Oryza sativa Japonica Group: one gene and its partners. The protein of the gene in region 2 binds, or shares a complex with, the protein of the main gene of each other region. Links are inferred from orthologs where the notes say so. Each region holds a gene or a part of one and is shown on either strand. Other genes may lie near its edges. The genes, in order: general transcription and DNA repair factor IIH subunit TFB4, general transcription and DNA repair factor IIH subunit TFB2 and general transcription factor IIH subunit 2.

Evidence for each region.
Region 1: general transcription and DNA repair factor IIH subunit TFB2 (region 2) and general transcription and DNA repair factor IIH subunit TFB4 share a complex: the UniProt entries of both Arabidopsis thaliana proteins name them as parts of the 7-subunit TFIIH core complex. The link is inferred for Oryza sativa Japonica Group from reciprocal best matches to the Arabidopsis thaliana genes AT4G17020 and AT1G18340.
Region 3: general transcription and DNA repair factor IIH subunit TFB2 (region 2) and general transcription factor IIH subunit 2 share a complex: the UniProt entries of both Arabidopsis thaliana proteins name them as parts of the 7-subunit TFIIH core complex. The link is inferred for Oryza sativa Japonica Group from reciprocal best matches to the Arabidopsis thaliana genes AT4G17020 and GTF2H2.

The regions. Positions count from the first base shown.
Region 1 is NC_089036.1:1,351,876-1,362,408, reverse strand, and holds general transcription and DNA repair factor IIH subunit TFB4, read left to right. Parts: upstream 1-4,039; 5' UTR 4,040-4,193; coding exon 4,194-4,218; intron 4,219-4,314; coding exon 4,315-4,403; intron 4,404-4,686; coding exon 4,687-4,957; intron 4,958-5,039; coding exon 5,040-5,086; intron 5,087-5,356; coding exon 5,357-5,394; intron 5,395-5,470; coding exon 5,471-5,516; intron 5,517-5,751; coding exon 5,752-5,805; intron 5,806-5,927; coding exon 5,928-5,996; intron 5,997-6,857; coding exon 6,858-6,934; intron 6,935-7,245; coding exon 7,246-7,341; intron 7,342-7,455; coding exon 7,456-7,513; 3' UTR 7,514-7,570; intron 7,571-7,824; exon of another isoform or gene 7,825-7,920; 3' UTR 7,921-8,249; downstream 8,250-10,533. Other genes in the region: protein MAIN-LIKE 1-like, read right to left, coding at 29-177; light-harvesting complex-like protein 3 isotype 2, chloroplastic, read right to left, coding at 8,629-8,876, 9,015-9,152, 10,266-10,533. UniProt on the Arabidopsis thaliana protein: Component of the general transcription and DNA repair factor IIH (TFIIH) core complex, which is involved in general and transcription-coupled nucleotide excision repair (NER) of damaged DNA and, when complexed to CAK, in RNA transcription by RNA polymerase II.
Region 2 is NC_089038.1:35,240,544-35,250,978, reverse strand, and holds general transcription and DNA repair factor IIH subunit TFB2, read right to left. Parts: upstream 5,931-10,435; 5' UTR 5,602-5,930; coding exon 5,489-5,601; intron 5,397-5,488; coding exon 5,229-5,396; intron 4,629-5,228; exon of another isoform or gene 4,626-4,628; coding exon of another isoform or gene 4,612-4,625; coding exon 4,543-4,611; intron 4,054-4,542; coding exon 3,960-4,053; intron 3,809-3,959; coding exon 3,708-3,808; intron 3,218-3,707; coding exon 3,172-3,217; intron 3,087-3,171; coding exon 3,027-3,086; intron 2,930-3,026; coding exon 2,861-2,929; intron 2,389-2,860; coding exon 2,305-2,388; intron 2,234-2,304; coding exon 2,150-2,233; intron 2,001-2,149; coding exon 1,915-2,000; intron 1,320-1,914; coding exon 1,229-1,319; intron 1,150-1,228; coding exon 1,069-1,149; intron 988-1,068; coding exon 913-987; intron 787-912; coding exon 652-786; 3' UTR 484-651; downstream 1-483. Other genes in the region: tetraspanin-19, read left to right, coding at 10,034-10,194. UniProt on the Arabidopsis thaliana protein: Component of the general transcription and DNA repair factor IIH (TFIIH) core complex, which is involved in general and transcription-coupled nucleotide excision repair (NER) of damaged DNA and, when complexed to CAK, in RNA transcription by RNA polymerase II.
Region 3 is NC_089038.1:25,934,026-25,944,380, reverse strand, and holds general transcription factor IIH subunit 2, read left to right. Parts: upstream 1-4,688; 5' UTR 4,689-4,779; coding exon 4,780-5,109; intron 5,110-6,532; coding exon 6,533-6,994; intron 6,995-7,074; coding exon 7,075-7,453; intron 7,454-7,882; coding exon 7,883-8,010; 3' UTR 8,011-8,376; downstream 8,377-10,355. UniProt on the Arabidopsis thaliana protein: Component of the general transcription and DNA repair factor IIH (TFIIH) core complex, which is involved in general and transcription-coupled nucleotide excision repair (NER) of damaged DNA and, when complexed to CAK, in RNA transcription by RNA polymerase II.

The DNA of each region.
Region 1 (10,533 bases), on a different chromosome or scaffold from region 2:
TTGAGTTGAAATGTGAACATACGCATACCAAGGAACGTGACGGGGGTCGACACGCAACCACTCGCGCGACGTGCGTGGACGGAAGGTGCCGAGCTGTGCACCCTCGACTGCTGACAGGAACGAGCGGTGGTTCCTGTCAATCCCACGGTTCAACAGCGCCGGTGTGTCGTACGCCATACCTGCATCAAATAGGTTGATCAGAAACATATAAATAATTAGTTCAACATAAGTAATAAATGTTCATAAGCGAATTACTAACACATATTAAACAAGAGTACAAACAAACAAAAGTGTTTAGTCCGAACACTCATCACGATAACATTATAATACAACACCGAATAGTTCGCAATACTACTAGTACAACAATAGTCGGAGGTACTCATTACAACAACATTGAATTGAAATTACACGATAGAAGTATTTAGTCCGAACACTCATTACATCACAACAGCATTTTATTTCCTAAATCGAAAGCATTGTTACACCATGGAATCGCCTGCTGCGCGACGACGCCTTGGCCTTGCGCGCCTGCTTGTTGTTCCTTCACCAGGTGGTCGCCTACCATCACTTGCCTGTCCAGATGGACTAGCATCTGCGCCGCTTGGAACTTCTGCATTCTTCGGGCATTTCTTGTAAGTATGGCCGCGCAGATCACACTTGCTGCAGCGTAAAGTCCTCCCACCTGCTTCTGACTCATCCATATCATTTCTGATGCGTCTAGTTTGGCGTCGACCCTTTTTCACCCTTAACTTAGATGGATCTGGAATATAAAAAACTTGGGCACTCAGCGTTGTGTAAGATCCTGAGATCCCGAACCCATATATCTCCTCACTCCATGTATGAAAGATTGCTTCTTTCCTGAAATAATTTGAGACGTACACATTGGGAGATATGCCACAATCACCGGCAGCAGCAAGAACGTGTGAGCAAGGAAGGTGATGAAGCTTCGGCTTCATACAACTGCAGGTACATCCACCATCCGCCTTCAAGACACATTCCTGCACGGCTTGCTTGCGATAGATACCACGCCTGCTCCTATCAACACACATTATTTCATACCGATGCACTTGTGTGCCTTGAGCAACAACTCGATGTCTCCGTGCCTTTTTGATTTTATCTTCCATGTACTTTGTCACTACGTTGCCAAACACTATGTTGTTATCGGCCATGGACGGACCAATTTTCTTGTATCGATCCCTAAAGTACGCTTGCGTGCCGTGAAGGATGAATTCAACAATAGCAACCAATGGAAGTACCCGAACTCCTCGCATTACCCAGTTGTACACCTCTGCCAAATTGGTTGTCATTATGCCATACCGAGATCCATCGGTGTCGAACAATAGAGACCACTTCTCCTTAGGCTCATTCTCAATCCACTGAGTGAAATTTCTGATGGACGACCTTGACCTCCTTCTCATTGTTGGTGGGTCATCATGTAATGCACCAAGAGGTATGGGAGGCTCGTCACCTTCAACTAGTGGTCTGCGAGATTGCTCATCTGTTTGCTTCGTTGTCAACTCATCCAACTTGTCCCACAACTCATTAAATTTCTTCTCTTGGTTCTGTGCACAGAGCCTCTTAAAGAGCTCCATAAGATGCTTGTTCTTGAATTGCTTGTAGAAATTTGCACCCATGTGACGCATGCACCACCGACTCTGAACATCAGGCCACTTAGCTGGAAGTCCCTTCTCATCCCAACCGTTCTGCAAGTAGTCAATAGCCCGCAACATACCCTCATGACGATCATGTATAAGGCAAACGTTGGGCCTCATACGCACCACTGCAATGTGCACTCTCTCTAGGAACCAGTACCAGCTTTCAGTGTTCTCACTCTCTACAAATGCAAAAGCCATAGGTAGAACCTGGTTGTTCCCATCACACCCAATTGCTGTCAATATCTGACCTCGGTATTTACCTGTCATAAAAGTTCCATCTATGCATAGAACAGGTCGACAATGCACAAAAGCATTGATGCAAGCACCCAATGAGAAAAAGGCTCTTTGCAGCATACTCTTTGTTCGATCATCAACCGATGTAAATGTATGTAGGTCATAGTACGTATTATTATTCCTCTGGGCAATGGTGGCTAACAAACGAGGCAAATTATCATAAGAAGCTTCAAATGTGCCATACCTCATCTCAATGATCTTTTGTTTGGCTCTCCAGGCCTTTGCATAGCTTATGGTGTACTTGAATTTGTTCTCGATGTGCCTAATAATTGATTTTGGTTCAAAGCCAATGTTACCAACAACACTGCTGTACATCTCACTTGCCACAAAAGCTGAAGTGATGTTTCGGTGATACTTCTCCACCCCTTGTAAGTAGCACTTGTGCTCGGTCACAATGCTAACTTTCCAATAATCATTCCATTTACCCTTATATGCATGGACACGCCACGGACAATCTTCCTTCATGCACCTCACTTCATACACATAATTTGTTGACTTGACCACCCTAAACTCTCTCTGCAAGGAAACTGCCCAATGCTTCACCGCCTCCTTCATCTCATCCTTATGAGCATACCTTGCACCGTCAATTACCTCGTTCTCCTTATACTCCCAGGGTACATGATCACCCTCTGATATAACAAGTCCAGAGAAGTCCTCATTTGCCCAATCAGTGGCCATTACATCACCTTCCTCATCGGATGATGCGTCGTCGTCCGCTTCCTCATTATCCGAATCTTCCCTCTCCATTTCATCAACAATTATACCGACTCTCTCCCCCTCATCCGCCATGCCCATAGCCTGCTCCTCCCTTGGTTGATTTTCCTCATTTTGCATCGATGGTCCAACAACATCCCCTGCATTGATAGGACCCTCTACATCTTCGGTTTGCATTGAAACATTTATATCTTTCTCTTGTACCGACACAAATATAACGAGGGGCCATGACCGTTCAAAAGCCATTTCCACATACCGTCTCCAAGCATCAGTGCTGTCCATCGGCATTAGTTCCCAAAAATAACCTTCTGTTGCACGACTCACTACAACTGACACTGACATTGTGTAGACTTCTTGGTCTATTCTAAATCCTCTCAACAACCAACTATAAATTGACTGAAATGTTCTCTCCGCAGGCCTATCGATGCCCTTAGATGTCATTACAAAATCTGACAGATCAACACCATCTGGACCAAATCTAATATTTCCTTTACCATGAACTATCTGAAATGTGACCTTACTTGACATTGTGCCTGATGAAAACAATAACTGCGTTAACCTCGCATTTCTGTACTACGCCCTAAGTTACATTCTCTACAATATTGTTCTCTAAATTTCTAAAATTACGTTACATTCTCCAGATCAAACTAAACTACATCTTACAATTAACACTACTGTCTATGTCTCAATTCATACTATTATATTCTATGCTCTGGATCTACACATATGTGCTATGTGCTACAGATGTGCTAAAATATATGGAACTAAAACTAAAACGCAACATATATACTCAAACATAACATATTAGTACAAATGCAAAAGATGTATGGGAGCATACCTGTGATGAATTGAGCGAACCAGCAGGGCTTCGCCGCTCCCCTTCTGCTGCCCTCCCCTCTCTCTCTTTCGTTTTTTTTGGATTTTTAGTGAATATAATGAAATTTCACAGAGGAGGGACTGGGCTTTATAGGGGGAGGCAAAAATCGCCCTCCCCCAGGGCGGCAAGGGGGCCGCCTGCAAAATTCCATGCCCCCTCGCCGCCCATTTGCAGGCGCCCCCCCCCCACAGTACAAAATCGCCCTAGCGGAGGGCGGCAAGGGGGCCGCCTGCAAAATTCCATGCCCCCCCTCGCCGCCCATTTGCAGGCGGCCCCCCGCACAGTATAAAATCGCCCTAGCGGAGGGCGGCAAGGGGGCCGCCTGCAAATTTCGTTGACGGCCGTCGCCCGAGAGCGAACGGCCGTCTGCCACGTCATTTTCGCCGCCCTCTGAGAGGGCGGTAGGCGACTACTTCCGTCAATTTTCAAAATGGAAAATTATTTTTGTAAAACTTTTAATAAAAAAATTATAAATAAAAAAAATTCGTCGTCTCTTGCCGCCCCCAAGCGCAGCCGCAACTCCGCCGAGTTCGCCGCCTCCGCCTCCGCCTCCCGACGGCGGCAAGGCAACCGCTCGCGCCGCCGCCGCCTCGGCCCAACCAGCGCCTCCGTTCGCGCGTGTCCGGCCCTGCCGCGACGGCGGTGAGACTGCCATGGCCTCCTCCAAGCTCTACTCCGGTAAGCGGCGCCCGACCGTCTCCGTTTTCTGATCCCTTTGCGTCTCGCTAATCTTCCCCCCTTTTCTCTTGCCTCGTCTCCACCGCGCCTGCGCAGATGACGTCAGCCTCGCCGTCGTCGTCGTCGACACCAACCCCTTGTTCTGGGCCACCGCCGCCCTCCCCTTCGCCGACTTCTTCGCCCATGTACGCCGCGACCTCCCAAACCCTATTTCCCTTCTCGTCCCCCGCTTCCCCTCTCGATTTCTAGTTTTTGATTCACATCTATATCATGGGGATTAACCACGGAAACACGATCAGTATCTAGTTGCATTCACGCTGATCTAGCTAGTTTGATTTTATTCTGACTCCTCCAGAGAGGATCAATCTCTAGTTGCTCGCTGATCTAGTTAGTTTGATTTTGACTCTGAATTCTCCAGAGAGGAGAGGATTTACACTTAATACTGATGCAATTCCGGGGTGTATGTAGCTGATCCACTACGTGAACTCGCTCTTGCTTCTGAACCACCTCAACCATGTGGTCGTCATCGCCGCGGGGCTTAGCTCTTGCACCTACATCTTCGACTCGAGCGATGCTAGTGCCTCTGGTGCTGCAGACGTCGCGGCCACCTTCGCAAAGGCGAGCCGCAAGATGGATGAGTTCATTGCAGAAGACGCCCGTGCCACTAGCAGCAATGGTTCCGTTGCTGATGGCAATGCAGCCTCTCTTCTCTCAGGCGCACTGTCCCTTGCTCTGTGCTGTATCCTATGACTGGTACTGATTTCTTATTGTTAGTGCATTTTCCATTTGTGCTTGTATTTCTTAACATGGAGGATGCTTAGATATACAGAGGGTTTTTCGGTCTGGTACTCGACATCCACAACCTCGGGTGAGTATACACTCTGTGTGTGTTCTAAGTTACCTTTTGTTCTGATTCCTGTTGATATGTTGACCTATGAGAACAACATAGAAGGGAGCATATCAGTTAGCATAAATGTTTACAATGCGCATGCTGTATGGACTAAAAAAACCTGATAGGCATCTGACCCATCACTAATGATATAATTATTTAATTTTCTTTGTTTTCTTGAATTTTTCTACTCAATATCCTCACAACTTATTCTAGTGGCATCATGTATTATGCTAACACGAAATACAGATTTTATGCCTGCAGGGTTCTCCAGATGGACCTGAACAGTACGCACATTCATCGATTTGATTGTGTAGTATATATTTTCTGGAACATGTTTTAACTCAATGAGATGCTGCGCAGATATGTAGCGGTCATGAACTCAATATTTTCTGCTCAACGTTCCATGGTATTGCATGAACTGTCACTATTCCGTACATTTGGGTTCATTGTTCAATTCATTTTATTGATACTCTTGATGTCACCTCACCATTTCACAACTGTAGTGGTTTTAGTGAGTCCCAACTGCAAGTAGCACTACCTCTAGACATGTCTATATGACTATATACATCACCAGTTTCATTGCTTAAAACATTCACTAACAACTTTGGTCCTTATTTTTTTTTTCTATCAAAAAAATTTAGGTCCCAATCGATTCATGCATAGTAGGAACCCAAGACTCTGCTTTCTTGCAACAGGTAATGTTCTTCAGTGCCTTCTTGGTCTTTCTTTCCATTTATAACTTCTTTTACATGTATGCCCCCATAGAGCTGTCTATTCCTTGCTGAATGCTGATCATATACTGGCCTTTCATTTGCAGGCTTCATATATAACAGGTGGAGTTTATTTGAAACCCCAAGAACTAAATGGTCTATTTCAATACCTTGCTGTAAGTCATTCTGGCACTTCTGTAGCAACACACATATTTTCTCATGCAACCATGGTTACATCTTTATAACTGCATGATGCATTTATATAAAGCCTGTGGCCATCTTTTCTGTGTAATAATGAAAAATTAAGAAGGCAACTAACCTCCAGCACATGAATCTGATGTAACTCTTTAAAAGAAAAATGCCAGATCAGCCCATTTTCATTTTGTGAAAAAAAATAATATCAACTTTCATCTAAGGTTGTCTAGGCTCTTCTGTTTTCCTGCCTTTGCTTGAATGTAGAATGTACTAGTAATGTTTGGGAACTCATGCATCTCTAGTGAGTGTGGCTTGTTTAAAGTGTGCACTCAAGCATAATATTTCCTGTATGTCTCAAACTGTCAATCTGGGAAGATCAACACAACTACATCTCTAAACTTTAGTGCCAAATGATTTTGGATGCTACTAGTAGACTACAAAGTTGAATGCCCTCTCAGTGTCTATGTTCATGAGTTCATCTCCTATGTCAAAACTCAATATTTTCTGTCACTAGAGTGGGGCACATAGATACTCCATCTTCCTGGTACTGGTAGTATATCTACCTGTTAATCTAGAATCAGATTCACATATATATGTACAATACACTAATGAACAACAATGGAATCATCAGATTATGGCGTGATAGACTGTGCTGTTTACTTCTGACCCAAATCTATTGCTTCAATATCAGCTTACGTTGACCTGTTTTTGGAATATATATATTAGTTCCAAAGTTGCTCTGTTTTGTGTTTGTCTTTATTCTATCTGAGTAGGAATATTTCTATTTCAGATAACTTGATTAATTTGCTTGAGCTCAATGACTCATTTCTGCAAATATGCAGGCTGTATTTGCAACTGATTTACACTCAAGAACCTTTCTGCGCCTCCCCAAGACTCTGGGAGTGGATTTCCGTGCTTCGTATGTGTCACTCAGTTTCCTCTATTAAGTTCTCTAGGCATTAGGCATATCTCTGTTTCTTCATCTTCTTGAATGCCTTGTGACATAGCTATGAGATGCTTGTTATAGATCTGAAAACATAGCATAATACCAATGACAATTTCAGAAAAATGTGAGAAACATACAGCTAATTTTTTTTGTGAAGTTCTATCTTACCAAAGGCCTTAGGTCAGGATTAGCAGCTCAGTTTATTTTTGTTTTTAAGTTTCCATTCAGTTTGTCTGATACTGGTGGCCTTTCAACTGCATCTAATTTGCTATATTTCTTTTCAGATGTTTCTGCCATAAGAAGACTATTGACATGGGATATGTTTGTTCAGTTTGTTTATCGATATTCTGCAAGTATCATAAGAAGTGTTCGACCTGTGGGTATGTTATAGTTGCTTTGTGTTTCTATTCTTTTGTCTTTTTCCTGAGAGCTTTAATTTGTTTCAGTAAGAATCAGATTGTTTGCTTGTTTAATTTGATGTGCTCCGTTCACAGGTCAGAATTCAACCGTGTCATGCCCGACTTAAATTCTGTACCTGATCAAAGGCAGTAGTCTACACTACAGATGGCGAAATATCAGACTGCAGACTTCTCTTTATGTTCTCCACAGGTTCGTCTGATGTGTCTCTTAAGAAACTTCGGTGCCACTATCTTCTATAGTTAAAAGATCTCATTTGTAAAATATAGACTACTTCATCTGCATTAGCTGACCCCCAGACATGCATTATGCGTTAATGATGATGACATGCACATACAGTGCACGCCATATCTAGTCTAGTTTCAAATTTTACCTACCTTGTGTTCTTATGTGCGTAGGTTCATGCCCGTGCTTTGTTCCATTCTGAAATGTGGTTCATTTTCCAGGAACATCTATCCTAGCATTTTAGCCTCAATGACATGCACATTTATTTCTTAGATACGATACATGATGCTGGATCAGCCTGTCCCTGATTTTGACAGGTTCAACTGATACAGAATGGGCATTGTGTGCATACTTGAAGCAGCGTCAGTTTAGCAAAAACTAGGCAACTGGGCGTAGCAATTTTGTCAACTGATGAGGGAACTCACGCCCGACTTTTGGAATTAGTTTGCCTGCAATTTGTAAAGTTGGCACATGAACTTGTGATGCACCATTTGCAAATGCTCTTTTTTGCTTACCGAAAACAGGACAACAGGTCAAGCTAGTAGATGGCAAATCATTTTTCTTGTCATGGTGACACAGGTTGCGCTAATGTCTTGATATATTACTTCGAGCTCCAAGAACAATTTTGATTTTTAGTTTCCTATAACGGCTGTGTGCACTGCCGATGGAACTGTGCAGATTTGTTCTGGCGCGATGCGATGTTAAAAATGTTGCTACGTTTTTTTTTCAAACGTAGTCAAACCAAAAGAATTTTGATTTAGAAAAGAGTCAAAGCATTTTATAATATGAAGCGGAGGGAGTAACTAGTACAAGCAATTCTCACAAAGAAAACATTCAACCAAGTAACCCGCAGCAACGTTAACCTCTAGCACAGAAACGAGTTCGTACTTTTTACAAGACGTCATAGGTATTAAGATCATCAAAATGTACTGAGCCTCACTAATAAATGGGTTGAGAAAAGGGCTGCAAAAAGAAGTGATACAATACAACATAGGGAGGATTCAGATTCAGATTCCACTTCAGAGCTATTTCTTGGGCTGAGAAGGGGACTCATCTTGCCAGGTTGCCTGCCATTGCTTGTCGTAGAACGTCGTCTCATCGATGAGCTTCTTCACTGTCTCTATGTCCTCGTTTTTCCTGACCAGCAGCACACCAGCCACAGCAACAAACAGTAGGGTTTTGCAGAAGAAGTTGCCCATCTGGTCGACAAGCCCCACGCCGGTCAAGCTATCAACAAAGTATGCCATGAAGAAGCCAATCATGGCAGCACGGCCTGCAGAGACATAAGAGTGTGATGTTAGAAGTGATGAATTCTTCTTTCCCATGCACGTGGTTTGTTTGCACATGTGGCTTGATGCAAGTAAAAACTTTTGAATTCAGCTTTTGAAAAGGAGAAGGATTCAAGAATGACCATTTAGCTTCTCGGCTTCAGGGAGATGGAAACGCTTCATCCATGCCCACCACGGTATGATTGAAGTATCGAAGACAACGGCCTCGTCAGGGCTAGTTGCCTCTGGACAATCTTCAAGCCATTTCCTTCTCCTGGCCTCTGCAAACAAACAAATATGGCATCAGATGATTGCAACATTTCCAAGGAGTTATGTCAGTCGGCCTCATTAGATAGTAAGGAATCCCATTTTGTTCCATTCACTGCAGCACAATGACAAGTGCCATAAGTTTACACATCATTGGCAGACATCTTGTTTGTACCGATTCATAAATTAAAAAAACACAAGCTACGTACAGAAATGCAAATCAGCTGAGAAAAAAAAAAGATCAGTTTCAGAACATAAATCAATTGGATTTCAGTTCAGTTCAAACTCTAGTTGTGCACACACGACAGATCTCTCTTCCCTATCCAACCTAGCACTCCAGCGCTTCCCATGTCCACCTAGCTTTCGTTTTTTTTTTCTTTTTTGCAAGGGCACTCCCAGCAGCTTGAACTGTAAAAGCAAGTGTACTGTGTCTAGCAGTTTACATCATCTTCTACATACGTTATCAAGCAAATTAATGGTGACACGCTAGAAACTTCATCCTTTTTTTAAGAAACTTCATCTAGATGAGGCTATCCATCTAATCATGCTCCACCGATTATTGAAGTTTTATTTTTATAATTTTGCGGCGCACTGATTATTGAAGTTGTACAGCCATAGAGAACAGGAACCTGAATGGATAGCACTGTAGGTGTTGTTGTCAGCAAGCTGGTTCCTCGCTTCAGCAGATGGAAGGTCACTGTCACTATCACTGAGACTAATGGGAAGTAAGCTCCAAACTCCAATATAAGCACAAACAGATCCAGGGGCCAGAGGGCATAGCAATGGGTTCATCAAAGCACAGTAGCAACCCAGCTAAAAAACCACACTGGAATTGAAGTCGCAGTGCCGAGACGGCACTCCCATCAATCGTATCCACGACAATTCATGCAAACATTCTGAGATTCATCAAGTAAATACCAAATAACTAATGGCTGATAAAGGAGTCCTAATACTGAAGTAGTACTATGCAGTTATGCAATGCTTAGCTACTAGTACTCTAGTAGTAGATTTTATGAATTCCACCGCCATTAGTGTAGTGCTAGCTAATTAATCAGCAGCAGCAGCAAGGCAGCAACAGCAAACTGAAGCATAGAGAGGAATAGGGAGGCAGACGAACTGAGCCTCACCGGCGTCTATGACGGCGTCCCAGTCGACGGCGCCGCCCTTCTCGAACTGCCTGAGGTCCCACGTCCCGTTGACCCACCTCGAGTCCCGGAACTTGGGCAGCGGGGGCGCCGCCGCCGCCGCCGGCGGCTTCTCGGCCTTGACGGCGGCCCCGTTGGACGCAGCGGGGGACGGCTCGGCCTCCGGCTTGCTCGGCGGCGCCTCGACAGTCTCCACGGGGGCCTCCCCGGCGGCGGCGCGGGCGAGGCGGAGGCCGGCGCGGAGGCGCGG
Region 2 (10,435 bases):
TTTTGCTCTGCTCGTCTACTCTCGTCGGAGGAGTGGGTGGGGTGGGGTGAGAGGCGTGAGACTCCTTATGTAACCCGCGTTTATATACTCGAGCTGGTTACTTGCGTGGTTTAGCCGTCTCCTCTCTCTCTCTGACACCTCTTGTAACAAGAAATGATTCCTCCTAGTTATCTCTCTCTAGCTCTCTCTCTCTCTCTCTCTCTCTCTCTGACACCTTGTAACAAGAAATGATTCCTCCTAGTTAATGATAACCCGTCTCCTCTCTCACACGGATTGACACAGGTGAAAACCTGACACCTGACACACACCCTCCCCCTCCTCTCTGATCGCTCGTCTCTCCCTCTAATCGCTCCTCTCTTGCACGGAGTAATCATCTAGAATAAGTAAAGAAAAATATCTAGAATAAAATGTGATCTATCCTAAAACAACTAATTTGGACTGGACGGATGGAGCACTCCGTAATAATAAACAGGGTAACAGCAGTTAACTCAAAAGTTCAGCGAGTTCCAACTCCTTAACATGATGCAGCCAGTGGATATATTCATGTGTGACAATGGGCCAAATTGGTGCACAACAGTCATTGATAAAGTTCTTACTGTGCAGGAATATAGGAGTACATAGATTGAATAAATTATGCAAACTATAGTTGATTTATCTTAGCCTCCGGAGGAACTCACGCATTTCTGAATGGAACTCCACTCGTACAATTAATCTCATCTTCTTCGCATCCTCCCACAGCAAGCACCCATGATCTCTTGCATAATCACAGCATTGATCAAACATATCCTGCACAAGCAACAGTAGAATAAATATGTTAGCGTTTACACTAATATGAAAAGCACACACCAACATGGTATAAGCAACTCAATATTGTCCCAGTACTATTTCCAAGTTAAATATGCTGGGCTTTACCTTGCTTGGAAAATCTTCATATAAATGCGATAGGGTCATATCAACCCTGTTACGATCCGTTTCCCACAACCTAATCTGCATGGAGGAATTACCAATTCAATTACTTTGGCAAATACGGTTGGCCATGGATGAAAACATTGCCTTGTTCAGTTGTACCTGATCTGTAACGTTCTCTGGGACTGCAGGTATCTTGTCAGCAACACGAGGATGAGCATTCTGCTGAAGGAATGAAATTATCTGAAAAACAACACAAAACAAGAATGACTCTGAGTATCTATATAATGGATCATGCAGAAATTCATACTCCAAGTGATACCTGTTCAGCGGTAATCCCATTCTCAAAAGCACCATAAAGACTTTCTTTTGTAATAGATCCCACAATTAGGTTTGGAAGTTGATACTCCACTCTGCAAAAATATCCTTATTGAACATTCAATGAAGAATGGAGGATGACAGTAATATAAGGTAAAATCTACAGTCGCCACTATTACTGTCATTTTAATAAAACCTTAAGCAAGTGTCCTGTAAAATTAATAAGCAATATTACTTACAACACAGTTATTAATACAGTCATCTTCACTGTATTGTGTTTCCTACTACCTTGATTTAGTACTGGATTCCAGTGAAACAGTTGGCATTCCTGAGTCAATTCAGTCAAGATGAAGGCATCTACTCAACCAAGATAAACGGTATCAGTCACTGAAACAGCAGTGACCAATCACCATTCTACTAGAGCATAGCCAAAAATCAAGATTATGGCATATACTCGCATGACAATTGGCAGAGTTACGCTGGTTAACTAAAGAAAATGTGATGAAGGGTATAGAGCCCTTAGCTCCCTGCCGTCGCTCTTTTGCATGCCAAACATATGGCAAAATGTTAATAATAAATAGAGGAAAGTCGTTCAAGGATGCAACAGAAGCTATGGATCAGTAATTCAGTAGTTAAAAAACCAGTACATAGTTGAGCTAAGTTATGCCAATCATCTAGCACCACACGTACCTTGAAAAAAGGCGCAGAATTTCACAATGTAATCTGGAAGTTGAGTACGCATACATCCGGAAATTTGTCTCCACAACTACAAAACCCTACAGCACCAACATCATACAATGTAATTATTAACAGAAAGTATTTTCATCTTCATTTGTTGTTGCTTAGGTGACGAGTAGATTGAGGTTATGAAAGATTTGGACGTCATGAATAACTGTAATAGCAAGGATATAAAATGTTCTGAAACCTCTTTGTTAGACGATGAATCTGACAAGCTTGCTGAGAGATTTGTAGCCAGTTTTGTAGGTATGAACCAGCTGTCCTTTCGACCCTGCCATGGCTTAACTCTTGACATTTGTATTCATCAAGTTGACTAGGGAAAAGACTAAATCAAAGTTTTACCTGCTGAAGTTTGACCAGTCCCAACTCCGCCAGATCCCTAATAGCATTTCTTTGGACATCGGTCAGAGTATTCAAGCTATAAGCCTGAAGCATGAATAAGTTAAACAGCATGTTGAAGCGAATTTGCAACAGATGAACCAGGCCACAAAGCTTGGACTCCACAACAGATGAAAGATAATGCTTAGTTAATAACATTAATCTACAGACTGATAACCTCTTTTTAAGCACTAAATCTCTGGTACTGTCTGAACTAGTAAGCATTATTAAGCAGGCATGTTAGATTGATGTCCCTATTCTGTTAGATAGATCAGAAACCAATAGAAAATCTTTGAGATGCTCCGTTTCATATACCACTACAATTTACCCAATCCTCTCATAAACTATAATCTGCGTAAAATGTGGCCGTGTTTATTTCTTATATCAATATAACCTACTATTATTGAGGGAAATTATATTTTAATTTCTGTAAAAGAAAAACTGGAGCTGGTCACTTTTTAAAACGATTTTTGAAAAAAAAAGAAGCATCACCACAGTCTTTTAAAAGTGGTTAACTTACCTCTCCTAATGTATGAAAACTAAGTTCCAATAGAAATGATATCAACTCCGTGGGGTCCACACCACGTTCCTATTCAACAGTAATAAAACAATCAGCACAAAGGAAATACAACAAATAAATCAACAATGTAACATCAAAAGCTCTAGAAAGAGCAAGCAACCGATACCTCTGCTGATGAGATGTATTCTCTCATGATGTACCAAAGTTGAGCATTTGTCTCCATCAGCTGGTTAAATAGAAAAGAGTGAGAAACAAATATAGAAGTCTGCAGTCTGTTAGATAATTGGATCAACTGATAGCCAATGACACACCAGAAACTGGAACCCGTTCTCAGTTAATCTTGGAGCTTCACCATCTCTGCAGAATATATCAGATCAGGAACTCTATCGTTCAGTTGTTGTTTGAATATGCAATGAGGAAAGCATATACAATAAAGCTAGAGAATATATAGCAGGGCAAAAAAACTCTAGTAGCTTTTAAAATTCCAGAAATGTGGTGCAAATCTGAACTATCCAAATAAAAAAAGCAACCTGCTAAAAGATGGATTATTAGGATTACTAAGAGACCAATCAGCCCCATTTCACTTACAGGTAAACTGAACACAGATAAACCAAACCAATTAACCAATGACCATCTGCTGTCAGCCCACACCATCTTGGGTATAGTAGTTGCTAGTTCTTCTTAGTGTATATCTATGTAGCTACAGCCATTGGATTTATCATCTAATTGTACTAACAAAAGAAAGAGCTACAGCAATCTGCATATTCTTTGTTGTTGTTACAAAATTTGATTGTCCGTATTTTATGCATAACTCACTGCCAAAAGCAAGGGAGGAAATAAGATGGACCTTGAACTCAGAAGACCTCGCTGAAAAGTTCTCATCATGGATGAGCTGAAACTTGTCCCTCTCTCGACTTGAGATGAGTTGATCAATTGCAGCAAGAAGCACTATTTTCCCATAGAGAAAAGAATGAGTTCCTTTACTAGGGGAGTGAACATTGGTAGCATTCAAACAGTACGATCTGATGAGCAAAAAAAGATAGAAAGTGTTTCCCTAAAATAAAATATACATGCAAACATAAGCTTTTGTCATCCTGACCTCCCACTGCTCAAGAGCAAAAGACTCTAATTCTGCCAATGTAGGCAACCTTGCAGTGACACTCGATGGTATAGGTTCCCTTGGTAAACTTCCACTGCAGAAAAATAAAACTGTAATGTCGTCAACTAGTTTGATATGCTACAACACGCAGAACAAAATACATGGCAATAAAGCTTTAATTATTAGCTCAGGCTGCCCACACAGGAAAAATAACTGAATAACATGAAACATGTAACATACAGTAATTTATTTTTATACAAATTAGTCAATTTGATTTTACTGTTCTTCAGTGCAATCATCGGTAAATTTGTGAACTATTTCCACCCTATTGCTACCACATTGTGGCTTTTTCATTTTCTACATGTAATGTGTGCAGGAGAAATTTTTCTATACATGCAACGTATGCCGGAGTATATAGTAAGGATTACTCTACAATATTAAGAGTTGTACATAATATATATAAGGAAATAAAGCACATGCTTACACTATCATAAAGTTTCGACGGGGAAAAGGCAATTAGCTCAAAATATGAGAAAAGTATGTGGCTTTCAGTAAAAGTAGCTCAGTAGTTACTAAAACTTACCCATCAACCAAATACTTTTGCATGTTGCCCTGGAACTTCTGGTTCATCTTGTAGCTCACCTCCTTTCTTCTGTAGAAAAACATAGTCTACTATGTAGTAAAATTAAAGTAATTCATAAACTGAGTAAGCTATAAGATTCATATTAGCTATGCCTCTGCACATGCAAGAAACAGAACATGTGACAAAGTACACATGAAATTGATGTTCCAGCAGTATAATTAGCTAAAAATAATCGACTACCCCAACTAGAGCTGAATAAAACTTGTTCACGTCCAAGGGTATAATCATCATGATGGTTTCTTCTCATGCCAACATTGATTCATAATTCTTAATGCTGTTGCATATTTCACCTTAAGAGTTTGCACTTTGCAGACCAAATGTGGCATGCCAAATATATTGCTGTTTCCTTTTTACAATAAATAAAAGCATTACTAGTTGCATAGCATCCTTAGGGCCAAACAGTTACACCAAAATTTCAGTAAGTTGACATATATGATAACATATCAGGCCCCCCGGCATGCCAAAGACAGCGCTGGCAAACCACTAAGGCAAAATTAGCACCAGAAATCTGACATTCTGGATTGAAATTATACAGTTGGTTCATCGACTTCTGATCTATAGAGGAAGTTGCAAGTCTGCGGCGCACTTGAAGCACCCAGCGCTGGTGGAGATGGATGAGGCCTTACCGATCGCGCACCTCGACAAATACCCTCAGTTGGAGCAGCCTATCGATGGCGACCCTGTGCTTGGCGGCGTACTCGTCGAGCACCCACTCCTCCATGGCCGCAGCGGCCACCGGCGCCGACACGTACAGCATCTGCAGCGCGTACTTCTTCGCGAGCGGCGGGAGCGACCTGCACAACGAAGTGGCGAAAACACTCGCGATGAAATACAGCACGGAAACGCATCGCCGCAGCCAAGGGCAAGGCCGGCGCGGAGTGGGCACCTGAGCACGGCCTCGCAGATGAAGGCGGAGTCGTAGAGCATGTCGAGCTTGGCGGCCGGCAGCGCGGCCACCATGTCCATGAAGTTCCGCGCGACCACCATTACCTGCGGCATCTTCGCCGGGGGGTGGGGGGTTAGCTCCCAGCGCCGATCCGGTGCGCCGCCGTGCCACACACGTAGAGGGAGCAAGAGCGAGGAGGGGATAGGATGGGAATATCCGGCGACGAGGAGAGAGCGTCGGCGGGAGCCCTACCGGGGAGATAGCGGAGGAGGCTTCGACGAGAGGAGAGGGGGGAACAGGGGAAGAGGTTTCTCTAGAGCTGAGCTGTGTACCGGAGGAGGAGGAGGAGAGCTCGCCGGCGGCGACGGCGACCGGAGGAGGGAGGGAGGCGGCGAGGCGGCGATGTGTGTCGAGCCGAGCAGCGTGGGTGTGAGTTGGGCTTGGATAGAATCCGGATCCTGGCCCATTTAAATTTGCAGTGGAATTGGGCCGTCGGCTCTTTTATGTGGGATAAGTTCACTTCGTGACCCTCAACTGTGATCGAAATCTAATCCACGACCATAAACCACAAAACCGGATATTTCGACCCCAAAACTCTTAAAACCGGAGCAATTTGACTCCCTCGGCGGTTTTGCTAACGTGGCGCCTACGTAGCAGCATTGACTCGGTCTTCTTTCCATGTGGCGTTGATGTGGCGCTTAAGTGGCACTAGAAATAAAAAAAAAAGTGTGGGGCCCATTTGTCATTCAAAAAATATATAGTGTGGGACCCACTGCCATGTGGGGCCCACATGCCATCCTCTCTCTTCTTCTTCCTCCGCTCTTCCTCCCTTCTCTCTTTCTTTCCCTTTCTCTTCTCTCCCCTTCGGCCGGCCGCGGGGAGCACGGGCTGGAGCGGCGGCGAGCGGCGGCGGCGGCGGCGGCGGTGGAAGCTGACGCGGCGGCGGCAAGATTGGAAGTTCGGGACTCGCTGCTCTGTGGGCTGTATGCCTCGCTGCTCTGCCTCCTCCACCGCGGCGCTCCCGGCGCCGGCGGGTCCAGATCCTTCGAGACGGTGGACTCGCTCAACATCTTCAGGGCCAAGGACTACGACGCCACCATCGAGTTATACTGGGCGCCCATGCTCGCCGAGTCCAACTCTGACGGTGCCGCTGTCCTCGACGACCGCCTCATCCGCAGTGCCCCCATGAACAAGCACTCCACCTTCTGGAAGGGCGCCGACGTCCTCGTCTTCAACTCCCACCGCTAGTGGATGACCGACGACAAGATCCAGATCCTATAAGCTGCTAGCTAGCAAACACATAGTCATACATGGCGTGAACGATTGATGGATTCGTTTGTGAGATTGTTTGTGTGTGATTTGTCTGGATCGATGGATTCATCTGGCGGCGGCGACTGCTACAACCAGACGTTGCCGGTGGGCGCGGCCAACGCGGCGTCGTACCGCGGGAGCACGAGCCGAGGGATGCTGCAGGTCCCCGGCGCTGCCGCTTTAGCTTCTTGGGGAAGAAGGGGAGAGAAAGAGAGAGAAGGGAGAGAGGGAGGAGGAAGAAGGAAGAGGACTAACATGTGGGCCCCACATGTCAGTTGGCCCACATTTCTTTTTCTGTGAATGATTAATGGGTTCCACACATATTTTTAATTCTAATGCCACCTAAGTGTCACGTGGAACGAAGACTCGGTCAATATCGTCACGTAGGCGCCACGTCAGCAAAACCGCCCTCCAAAACCGCCGAGGGAGTTAAATTGCACCAGTTTTAGGAGTTTGGGGGTCGAAATATCCGGTTTTGTGGTTTAGGGTTATGGATTAGATTTCGATCACAGTTGAGGGTCACGAAGTGAACTTATTCCCTTTTATGTTAGATTGGGCTACAGGCCTCTTGAATGAAAGGATTGGGCTACCCAACCCTAGCCCATTTTGGCCCATTGGCAAGTTTGTGTTTCAAAGTTGTCCATGCATGGATAATTATTTATATTTTTTTTCTTGTTTTTTTTCGTTTAGACGAAAGACTCATGCATAACTACACAGCACGCTCACGCTCCCATGAATGTGCTTTTATTTTAAAACTACCCATGAACGTGCTTAACATACTCCTAACTACAATTTCCTATCCTAACTAAAATCTGATGAAAAGAACCCCCGAACGTGTATAATATTTGCTCGTTTTTTTCAATTTCAGTACCGTACTCGTACTTTCCAGGATCAATCCGTCAATTAGCCGTCCAATTTTTTTTCCATGTGAAAGAAATAAAATGTACTAGAAAAATGAAATCATTTCACAGGTATACTGGCACCAACATGACAATTTACAAGTCTAGAGTCTGGACATCACCAATGTTGACGTACACGTACGTGTCAAATCGCTTTCCGTGTTAAAATCTTCCTCGCCACACAAAACCAAAGGTGCGCGTTACATGACTTTCGCCGAGCACTCGTCTGCTGCGACGTCAAACTCCAAATTTATACATCAATACATGTGGTTTTGAATTTTTGCTAAAAGGAAATTCATGTGTGGTTTAAGTAGACAAGTAGTAGTTGGAATTTTGAAATGGTGTTCCTGTACTACTTCCTACTACCAAGTACTACGAACCAATGAAAAAAAAATCCGGCGGACAAGTTGAAGCTGGAAATGGTCAGATCAAAAGTCAATACGAAAATGAAACTGATACTTGCCGACTGTCACGCAATTAATACCGATACCAAGCACTACCCCTGTTTAAAGAATTAATAGTAAGATTATACTAAGAAACTAGGGTTGGCAGCCAGATTTTAGCATATAGGAGTAGTTCGATCTTTGGGTTTTACAAATACATCTTTCTCAAATCCTAGACTGTCATCAGAAGCTTGTTGTTGACGAATATCGTCTACCACCGAAAAAATAATTAGCCACAAATACAAGTAATAATGTCAAGTTTAGAATTTAAACTCAGGTGAGCTAGTTCTATCACAGGATAATCATTTTAGTTACGCCTATTTTGCTTTGTAATTTTTTTTAGACATGCTACCACAAGGAGTAATATAGAATTTGTTTTTTTTTTCTTTTTTCTACTTTGGAAAGGATGGTTTTTACACGAAATTTTACATGAACTGACTATTTCCTAATAAAATCAAATAAAAAAACCTACGATCCAATAGTCACAAAACTCCAAACCTAATTCATTTTCCATGTGACTGGGGAGATCAGTCGGTTGATGAACGATAATGTTTTTCTTTTTCTCAACACAATTTCATAAATCATCGTAGCGTTACACACAAGCTAGCGCGTAATGAACATTATTAACCCAGGTGCAAAATCACAAATCACATTCACCCAGGTGCATATGCTAACTACAGGTGCCAGGATTAAAACCTACTCCGTACTCATTGTCCGCATGGCCGTGACTCCACACCACACAAGTACTACTTCCCTAATTTACGCGCTAACTTTTCTTAATCAAACACTCTACACACGACTTATTTGATTACCACGTAACAGTAGCTAGTAATTTCTCCCCCAACTTGTTCTCCGGTCTCCACATCTCATAGGATTTATAGCACATCATTACGTATATCATCATAACAAAACATATCACTCCCCATCAAACATTATGACGTAGTACTATGTAATAATTAGCTCCCTTCATTTTTAATAATTAAGATATGCCTTTTAAATTGTTAAATAGTACATTTCTATGTGAAAACTTTCTATATAAGAATTTCCTCTAAAATATATCAAATAAATATAATTTGAAGTATGTAATTATTGAAACGCAATTGATCATACGCTAATGCTTTCTCATTATGGGTGTACTTACTTAGTCCTCTTGTTCGTCTTGCGAAGAGCCGAGAGATTTGTCATTTTGCTATGTCTAGGTGTTTCATATTATAAGTTGTTTATTTTTTTTCTCTAGCCAAACTTCTTTAAATTTAATTAAGTTTATAAATGAATATAGTAGCATTTTTTAACATAAAACAGACATCCAATGCTGGATTTTATTAAACTAATTTGTTATTTTTGATATTACTAAATTTTTCTATAAATTTAGTTAATCATCTTAACCAAGTTTGACTAAGAAAAAAAACTACAAGTACACTTCTTTTCAAGGTACAGCAGCGTCACGGCAAACCCGTATTTCCACAAGTATATACGGTAGTACAAAATACAATAGAGTAGAAGCAACAATCATTTAATCTTTCACGGAAAAACAATAATAAGTAATATATAAAATAAAAACAAAATAAATGAAGCAGGCAGCAATTAACTCATGTCACATCCGTGCCGAAACAATCCAACCCAAAATTCCCACATCCATTTCTCCAGCGACCCATCCATCCATCGCCTCCTCTTTCCCTCCCACCTCCACACGTCCCCTCCTCTTCCCCAATATTCCACGCCACCGCCGCCGTCAACCTCCGCCATCAGCAGCAGCAGCAGCGGTCTCCCATTCCCATTCTTTGCTCCCACGCGAGGCTGCGCGGAGAACAGCTGCACAGGTGGGGTGGGGGTGCAGACCGAGCTGAGGAGTAGCCGGAGTTGGTGGTGAGAGACGCGGGTGGGGCGCGGCCATGGCGGGGAGGGTGGTGCGGAGCTGCGTGCAGACGGGGCTCAAGGCGGTGAACTCCGTGCTGGGGCTCGCCGGGATGGCCGTCATCCTCTACGCGCTCTGGATGCTCCGCGCATGGTACAGGGACGTCGCCGACCTCCACTACCGCCTCCCGGTCCCATGGTATTCATCCCATCTCCTTCCTCCTCCCCAACTCGGATCTCGTCTGCTACTACTCTCTCGCCTTCTCAATCTCTGCTTTAGTTTTTTATCACTACATCGATTGCAGTTTTTCCCCCCTTTTGGGTTTCTTGATCTGGGCGTGTAACCCTGTGCTAACTGCTAACTGTCCCATATGCTTTGCTTCCGCGAAACTTCGAGACGAATTCGTCGAAGCAAAATGCATATACTCCATACTGTTTCA
Region 3 (10,355 bases), about 9.3 Mb from region 2:
ATAATTGAGGGATATGATGAGTTAGATGATATAAACAAGGCACAATGAATGAATTGAGGCCATCCTGATGTTGGGTTGCACATGTATTATATTTTATTGGATTTCTCCTTTTATGCACTATGTACAATAGTTGGTCAGAGAGGAAAGGCTAGAGCTAGAAGACTTTTTCACTTTCTTTTTTTCCCTCTAAATATGGGCTGTTAGACAGAGTTTTACTAACTGATAGCAATAACAACACTCCTCTGAAAATAAGAGAGATGTGTTCCTCTGTTTGCTAGATGCTACTGGCCAGCCTAATGGTAATTGATTAATTCCATGCAGCACCATATTTATCTTGTATGTGACAGTTTATAATATACTGCATTGCATTTGTCCACAGTTTGATCATGCAGAGTTATAAAAAAGGTGGCGTGGTGGTCTTGCATAGGTGGGTTTCAAAGTTTCTATATCAGTTTTTCATTGATGTGGTTCAAGTGTTAAATTTCCTTGGGTTTTCTGCTCAGAATTGTAGATTTTCTTTACTGAAAACTGCAAGCGACAAGTTCTGTTCCATTGGTCAATATAATCTTTTTGGTGATATTCTGCAAGATGTTTAGTCAAATCCATGACTATTATATCCAGACTAGAACCAAATTTATACCACAAAATATAGTATTTATTGCTGAGGTCGTAGGGTTTATTTGTAATAAAATGTGTTCTTTTTTATTTTATGTATGTATGACTACCTGCCTTTGTTTAATTTATTTCTCGCATGCTTGTTTTCTATACATATCTAACTTTCATGTAACCTCTGTTTTTTTACCTGTCTTGTTGCCGGCAGCGCGGCAACGGCGCGCGCCACCCCTAGTGTTGATATAAGATGAAGGGAAAGAATCCAAATACTTCCTAAACTTTAGATGGAAGATCGTCTAACACCCTGAGCTTTGAAATCGGACATCCAACCCTCTAAAGTTTGAACTTTGTCATACTATCCACTTGCCCTTAAAATAGTTTTGGATGGTGGTTTTGCACATATCATAAGCTTAAACAAACAACTTTAAATAACTAATATAACATATTTATATATCATCAGTTGTCAGTCATCGATTTATCTTTATACAATCATATCTTACTATTATTGTGTAGGTGTTTGTTTTTCAGTGAGAGCTAATAAGAAGTAAAAAGAAATATTTAAGTCATATTTTTAAGTGTAAGCCATAATCAGAAAGTTTTACACGTCAATTCATTAGAAGATGAAATACTCATACTCTCCTACTAGAATGTTTTTAGAAAATACTCCTATTATAAGTTTTAGGGGGTGTTTAGATCAGGGGTGGTTTTAGCGTGTCACATCGGGTATTATATAGGGTGTCGCATGGAGTGTTCGGACACTAATAAAAAAGCTAATTATATAATCCGTCAGTAAACCACGAGACGAATTTATTAAGCCTAATTAATATATCATTAGTAAATGTTTATTGTAGCACTACATTGTCAAATCATGGAGCAATTAAGCTTAAAAGATTCGTCTCGCGAATTAGTCATAATCTATGTAATTAGTTATTTTTTAGCCTATATTTAATAATACGTACATGTGTTCAAACGTTCGATGTGACAGGGGGAAAGTCCTCGGAAAAAAACACACGGGGCATCAGTTGTACTGTCTGCAATAGGGACGCTCCAACACTGGTGATGAACACATCTTTGAGGACATTGAATTCCTGGACCTGGAGGCTGATGCAGAGCCAAGGTCTGACCTGTGGTTGGCAGATTTGCAGAAACGGTTGCCGAAGGAAGGGAACTTGCAAGAGGAGGAGGGATAGGTTTATGTGTGGAAAATGAGCATGGATAAGCAGCTGAGGACAAAGGCTGGAAGAGTACTGCCAACCATTTATGCTCATTGATACAGTCTGCTTGTACGAATTGAAGTTGCTCTGCAAGTTTCTGAAGAGAGCCAATAGCCCAAGACTACCACACACAAGAGCCAAACGCTGCTCTGAAAATTTCTGAAAGGAGATGACTAGTACAGCTGATTGACATACACAACAGGATGAAGATTAAGATTTTCGTGGCATATTTTTCAAACTGCTAAACGATGCGCTTCGTGCGAAAACTTTCTGTATGAAAGTTGCTATAAAATATCATATTAATCTATTTTTAAAGTTTGTAATAATTAAAACTCAATCAACATACGTTAATATCATCTCGTTTTTGCGTAAAAAAATTAATTTTCATCTTTATCTTTAAGAGAAAAGGAGAAAAGAACATCACCGCATAGTTCCAGGCCTATTATTGCACAGAGGTTGCTGTGCTTCTCAACGATTGCCAGAAGAGATCTTCAGAAAGACCCCAAAGTCTAGAAACTCTTCCAAACATAAGCTAAGGATGTGTTTTTATTTGAGTGTAAAGTTTTTAAAGTATATGAACGCACATTTAAAGTATTAAACGTAGACTAATAACAAAACAAATTACAAATTCCGTATGTAAACTGCGAGACGAATTTATTAAGTCTAATTAATCTGTCATTAGCAAATGTTTGTTATAGCATCACATTGTCAAATCATGGCGTAATTAGGCTTAAAAGATTCGTCTCGCAATTTACATACAAACTGTACAATTGATTTTTTTTCCACATTTAATGTCCTATGCATGTGTCCAAACATTTGATATGATGTTTTTGGCTAAAATTTTTTAGATCTAAACAAGGCCTAAATGATACTTGTGATGGAAAATGCATCAAGTTTATTCACAGATAACAGAGGAACATGCATGAAGATGAAGTGCACATTTCAAGAGGCAGGGAAAATATCAGACTACTTTCATCCTACTGAAGTCAGGGTGTGTTTAGTTCACGTCAAAATTAAAAGTTTGGTTAAAATTGAAATGATGTGACTGAAAAGTTAAAAGTTTATGTGTATAGAAAAGTTTTAATGTGATAAAAAAGTTAAAAGTTTAAAAAAAAGTTTAGAACTAAACTCGGCCTTACCTGATCTTCAGAAAGACCCCGAAGTCTAGAGATGAAAATCTTCTAAACATAAGTCAAGGATCACAATGCGATGAAGAATGCATCAAGTTTATTCACAGATAACAGATTGATGAACATGCATGAAGATGAAGTGCACATTTCAAGAGGCATGGAAAATATCAGACTGTACTTTCATCCTTCTGAAGTTAGCTGATCTGTAGGAAACTAGGAACATCTTAAGGTTTTGATTGGAATTAGGATTAGTCCTAGCTTAGCTGTCATCAGTGGCATTACAACAGAAGCACAGAACAACAACCGTGGAACTGCAGCATTGGAACCTAGTACTGCAAAGTCTGTCGAAGATATTATCAGCGACACCTGTATAACAAAAGCGTGGCACATGAGACATGGATACATTCGCGCATTAGATGCGATGTCGACCAGTCAACCATGTCGATGATATAAACTATAGAGATGAATTTATAGTATAAATACTTACAGATCGCATGAACTTCGTTATTAAAAAAATCGAGGTGGTCAGGTGCCACATTGCCAATGCTGCAATTCCAACTGTCAACATAAAACTATATTTATTTTTATGAAGTGTCTGAAAGTTCAAACATGCACATGTGCAGATGTCTAGTGATTTTATTATTATGCAAAGTACTACAACCTGTATTTCAGTTTATCAAAATTATTCATCAAATTTGCCAACTGAGCTCCCCTTGCGGTAGAACATATCCATCGAAGTTCAAGTTGTAGTCTTAGTATAGGTGCTTTTGCATTTTTTTTCTAGGATTTAATCTGATGAGGTAGTATGCTGGTGCTTGCACTTTCTCGGAGACTTAATCTCCGGAGGCACTGAATGCACATAATATTTGGTGGATAAGTTTATACCCATGTTAAACGAGGCTACTGTTCGAATTTGAGTGTATGTTAGGACTTAGATGCATAAAGTTAGTGTGTGCATATGTCAACTTAACTCGACAAAGGAAATAAGCCTTACATTTGACATAAACCCCTCGTTGGATTACTTTGAGATTCGTTCAAATCCCCCCACGTTAACCCTCTTCCTTTTCTTCTTCCCTCCTCACCGATGCACGACATGCTCGACCTTGACGCCTCTTGTGCTATCACTTGGATGGAAGTGTCATTAATATTGACGGAGCCCTCCCCCCTCTATTCCTTCTCAAGCCAGCAGATGCCCATGATCCGACATTTTCCCCATCTTCGGCTGCTCATAACCACCACCACCGACTACCGCTTCTTAACACAAGCTTGCTTTGCCCCTACCGCGCTCCTTTATCCCAATGGGCGCTGACATCGCCGTTGACGCCTCACTAGCATCCATTGTCCACCACCCCCCTTGGTCCACCACTTCCCATGATCATGCCTCTAAGACCGACGATCTCCTCCCTCTTCCCCAATCCCTACCCTAAATCTAATATGGACCCTAATCCGTCGATTCTAGTTCAGGGTGGCGCCAATGTCGACAAAGAAAAGGAGGTTGCTAAAGCAAGAGGAGAAGAATATAGAGCACAAATCACAAAGCACATCTTTTTTTATCTTAATCACGAAGCACATCTTTTGACCCTAAATCTGCAAGATTTGACGATAACCCCCAAAAAATATTCATAAAATTTTAGATGGGTTTTCAGTTTTTTTTTCAAGTGCAAGCAAGTAAGGCCTCAACCGTCAAGCATGGGAAAGCTAGAAAAGTTAAGGAAAACCCACTCAAAAGCCCAGGAACCCCAAAACCTGGCCCATCTCCCCGGTCCCCGACCTCGCCTCTCCTTCCTCCTCTGCTCCCACTCCGCCTCGCCGCCGCCTCCACCATGTACGGCGTCGGCGGCGGCGGCGGCGGCTTCAACGCGCCCTACACGGCATCGGCCCGGCGGCGCAACCACGAGGACGACGACGACGAGGAGGAGGAGGAGTCCGGCGAGGGGCGCGTCCTCGAGGCCTGGGAGCGCGCGTACGCGGACGACCGGTCATGGGAGGCGCTGCAGGAGGACGAGTCGGGCCTCCTCCGCCCGATCGACACCAAGACCCTCGTCCACGCGCAGTACCGCCGCCGCCTTCTCCTCCGCTCTGCCGCCTCCGCCGCCGCCCGCATCCAGAAGGGCCTCATCCGCTACCTCTACATCGTCATCGATCTCTCCCGGGTTCGTTCCCCCGTGCCTTCTCCTAAGCTTGTCCTCGGGTCAGTCACTCCGTCGAGCACTTGGTGAGTGCGGAGTTTTCCGTGAGCTCGGGTTAGGATCACTGGGGATGGCGGGCAATGCTGATCGTGCTAACCTCTCAGTGTTTGTTAAATGCAACACCTCGTGCCGAGGCTGATCTGGTGGTATTGCCCATGGCCTCAATTTGGTTCGTGTGAAATGTGGACTGGAGGCAGTATTGTTGAATCGGTGATCACTATGTAGTGCTTTTAGCTTGATTTCATATGCTAGCTATTTCAGTGACTAGCTGCGCAATCCTCTCCACTTCCACATCAAGGTTTGATGTTTGAGTTGATGATCTCATCACTCATGTATGATTTGCTAGCTTGTCTTCTTGCTTAGGTGTTCTGCTTTTAGTCCCTGAGAGTGGGTGTTATAATCGGTGCATATCAGGGCAATACTGGAATCTAGCCATTTTTGTTTGCCATTGACCAGGGCCATAACCAGAGATTGAATGGGGGGTTTTCGCCAACCATTGAACGCAATGAAGTTCACAAACTAAAATGAAATTGTATATGGTTTGTATTAAAAATGGTTCTTCTACAATTATAATAGTTTGTTTTGTAAAGGAAAAAAATTCTTGTGCCAAAGGGTCTCCTGAGATCTGTGGTAAATAAAATTCTTTCTATAAATTACTGCACTATGACTCTTATGAGCAAGCTAAAAAGGAAAAGACATATTTCATACCCCATCCCTGTTAGGCTCATGCTAATAGCAATTTTCTCTTGGTTCTGTCCTATCTGAAAACTTCATAGGAATCGGAGGAGCGTGAGGTTTTTCATTATCAAGATTCTGAAGCGGTAAAGCGTTTTGGTTGATCGTCATTTGTTTTATGTCAAAGGAAAGGGGCACCGTACTGCATTACTGCTCCATACCATTTGACATTGTTGGAAAGTGTTTTCTGTTGATTTGAGAACACTACGTATATTTTGTGTATGCATTCATGTGGAAAAAGCCCTTTCTTCCTTTGGGTGATAGGTAGTAAATAAGATCCTCTTTGGCACAGCTCCAGATCTTAGATCCATGGTAGATTTGAAGTTTATAAATTAAATTATAATGGTTTAAAATTCTAAATTTCATTTGAAATGTGCACGAAATAATTTATTTAAATGTTATTAACGTAATCGTAGATCTAGATCCATGGATTTATGGAGCTAGAAATACCTAGCTCCAAGAAATCTTGGAGAGGGCCTATACCATTTATTTTAGCATATGTACATTTTCTTCTCACAAAGTAGGCTGCTCATGATTGTTCTGGTGATGAAGATATTTTTACTGCAAATTGATATGCTGCCCACGACTTCTTTTACTTCTTTGCATTCGGTTGTAATCTCCATTTATCCTGGTTGTATCTTTGATCATGTAGGCAGCTTCAGAGATGGATTATCGACCTAGTCGAATGGCTGTTGTTGCAAAATATGCTGAGGTATTCATAAGGGAATTTTTTGACCAGAATCCCTTGAGTCATGTGGGGATAGTGACAATGAAAGATGGGATTTCCCATCGACTTACAGAGATTGGAGGTAGTCCTGAATCACAGATTAAAGCATTGATGGGGAAGCTTGAGTGTTCTGGTGAACCATCTCTGCAGAATGCTCTAGAGCTTGTCCATGGTTATTTAGACCAGGTTCCTTCATATGGTCACAAGGAAGTATTATTTTTGTACTCGGCCCTGAATACCTGTGATCCTGGAGATATCATGGAGACAATAGCAAAATGCAAGAAATCCAAAATACGATGTTCGGTTATTGGGCTTGCTGCAGAGATTTTTATCTGCAAATATCTGTGTGAAGAGACTGGCGGATCCTACACAGTTGCACTGGATGAGGTCTTAAAATATGCTTTGTGTGTTTACCTTTCCTTATTCAGTTATTGTGAAGATAAATAATGCCTGTTTTATTTTGGCAGTCCCATTTCAAGGAATTGCTTCTGGAACATGCTCCTCCACCACCTGCAATTGCTGAGTATGCTGCAGCTAATTTGATTAAGATGGGTTTTCCGCAGAGAGGAGCAGAGGATCTTATCTCCATCTGCTCTTGTCACAAGAAAATAAAGTCGGGGGCTGAAGGTTACATATGTCCTAGATGCAAAGTCAATGTATGTGAGCTTCCAACAGAATGTCGAACTTGCGGGCTGACACTAGTTAGCTCTCCACATCTGGCAAGGTCCTATCATCATCTCTTCCCTGTACAACCATTTGATGAGGTGTCCTCCGTGCACCCAAATAGACTAGGTCAAAAGGGAGGACAAAAGTGTTACGGCTGCCAGCAAAGCTTTATTAACCCTGGTATGCAGTTCTTTAACACGTCTAACAGTACATGCTACCTTTTCAATGCATTTTCATACAAGGAAAGATATCCTTATTGTGCTACATATGTTGCAGTTGGTAGAAAAAAGAAGAGAAAATACATAATACAAAGCTTACATTTGTTTGTTATTACATGGCATCATGTTCTTCAATTACCAATCCTCATACTTCTCTTACATTTAATGTTTTTCACTGGTTTTTGTGCTAGATTATACTCCCTCTGTCCCATAAAAAACCAACATAGTACTAGATGTGGCATATCCTAGTACTATGAATCTGGACATACCTCTGTTTATATTCGTTGTACTAGAATGTGTTATATACAGTCCTAGGTTCGTTATTTTTTGAGACGGAGGGAGTACTTTGCAATTATCAGGTTTATTAATTATTTATCCAATATCCTTGCAGATAGTCAATCTAGCCTCCATGTTCGCTGTCCAAAATGCAACCAACACTTCTGCCTTGATTGCGATATTTACATCCATGAGAGCTTGCACAATTGCCCAGGTTGCGAGAGTCAGCGTAGTTCTTCATAGGGATGCCATTGTGGTGTTAATCTTTGTCTTTTTAACTCAAGAAGCTACCCGTTGCTGTAAGCTTTCTCGTACACTGACATTGGTAGGCGATGTTGTGAGGTAATCAAACAGTGTACAGATGATATAGTGCCCGGCCTCCATTTTGTTGACGCTTCCTGTTCATTTAGATGGAGTAGCTAGTTAAGCTATTTTGATACAGAGTACTGGTCAAAGAGTTGTTGAAGCCATAGCATTGTTGCTGAGGGGAGGTGTTAGAAATGTACAATGCGACTGAAAAGTGAAAACTTGTAACTCTTGCCGTTTTTCTGAGGCAAAGATGTATTCTTTCAGTGTCATAGTCATGCCCTGACATGCCATTTACGAGCAGAGGCTGTTCCTTTCTTTTTTTTTCCCCCTTCCTCTCCTGATATGCCAATATGCTGGATATCGACGGCTCGACGCACGCACGCACCCGGCGTTTTCCGTTGCTGGTTGCTGACTGTAGAATCGTCAAGGTAAGCAGTTGCCTCGTGCAATTAACTGCACAATTTCAAAGCAGGCGGAGACGCAGAACGAAACGGCAAAACGCTGGAGAGAGCACGATGTTGCTGACCCAAGAGGCTGATGGCTTACGTTTTTTTGCTGCCTCGCAATTCGCTTCTGATGGGCGGAGTCAACACAGATGCTAACTCTGGGCTTTTTCGTTGTTCCCTTTCAGCTTTCCGGTGACGAGCAGTGGCGATCATCATGCATAATTACATATACGCAGCATATCCCTGGTTCCCTACACTCTGATGAAAGTGTGCTTCCTGTGGCTATCATGTCGACTTTGCTAAAGCGAATGGATGACAGGCAGCGGTGCCAGTGCTCCTTTTCACCAGTTGCACGGCCAAGTTGTGGGCACGACGAACTGCAGGCTGCTGCACCGTCCTGTGCGTTTTCAACTGTAGATCACTCGAGTCCACTTGAAAGAAACACAGGTGAGACAGCACGACGGCAACCGATCGACCACGGCCTTTTCCGAGCACTGCACAGTGTGCACACTCTATGGCGCTAAGCCCTTTTCGTGCCCTATGCTGCCTATACACAGTCACTTGCAACTTCCTTTCCTTCAACAGTACGGACGCCTCGCTCATATAAACACATATACGCACATCATATTTTTATAAGAGTAAATTTTACAAAACTACATGTTTTATGGTTCAAGTTGCAGAAAACCACACATATTTTGACACTTGGCATTTAAGTACATATATTTTGGTAGTTTAGTTTCACAAAACCACACTATCGATGAATGGATTCACACATGAGATGACGTGGTTGTTTTATCTAGATGATGACGTGGCATCCTATTAATTTCATGGGATGGCTAGTAATAAGATGCCATGTTCTCGTCCTAGTTGAAACAGTCACATCATCTCGCGGGTGAATTCATTCATTGATAGTGCGGTTTTGTGATATCACACTACCAAAATATATATACTTAAGTGCCAAGTGTCAAAATGTTTATGGTTTTCTACAACTTAAACTACAAGACGTGTAGTTTTATAAAATTTACTCTTTTTATAAACATCTCTAAAGATTACATCGGTATATATTTAATTTAAGATTAACAAAAGTTATCATAGACATATCTCTCTATCATATTTCAAAGTTACCATAGACATATATGGATGTCATGTGTCGATATATATAGTATTATCTACCACTAAAAGAATTAACTAGCTATAAATATTAATAACCGTGTTAAGTTTATAATTTAAATCCGGATCGACAAACTCAAACCACAAGGTCGAACTGAGTTCGCCGCTTGCAACTTTCTGACGATGTGGTCCGGCACCGGCTGGGCATCGCATCGAGCTCGTGCAATGATACTGACCCCATGATGGGATTTGCTTGCTTTGGCTTGGAGAGACAACGACATGATTGCCATCATGCTAGTTGCTCCTGAGCTGCAGCCTCTGTACTATGGACACCAAACATTTTTATTACTCGTATCTCTGAACCAAGCAAACATTCAGAACCCAGAAAAAGGCAGTGGTGAATTTCCTTGCATCAAATGGCTGAAAAGTTCGCATCAAAGTTTGGTGGAAAAATATCAGCTCCAAAAGGTGTGGTTTACCGGGACAAAGCCCTTTACGCCGTGAGTTTACCAAGCCCGGATTTGCCGGATTCCCTCTCTAGCAGGAAAGTTCATTGCTGCTTTACGGCAGAAATCTTCAGCATGGAAAGGGTGGCTATGCTAATTGCTAAAGCACATGTTTGGATAGTCAACCATGAACCTTGCAGAGAGGTAAGGTTAGCTGCACGACCTGGTTTGGGAATTTTTCTTCTTACAACGAAAAATAACTATGAAATTCTTGTGA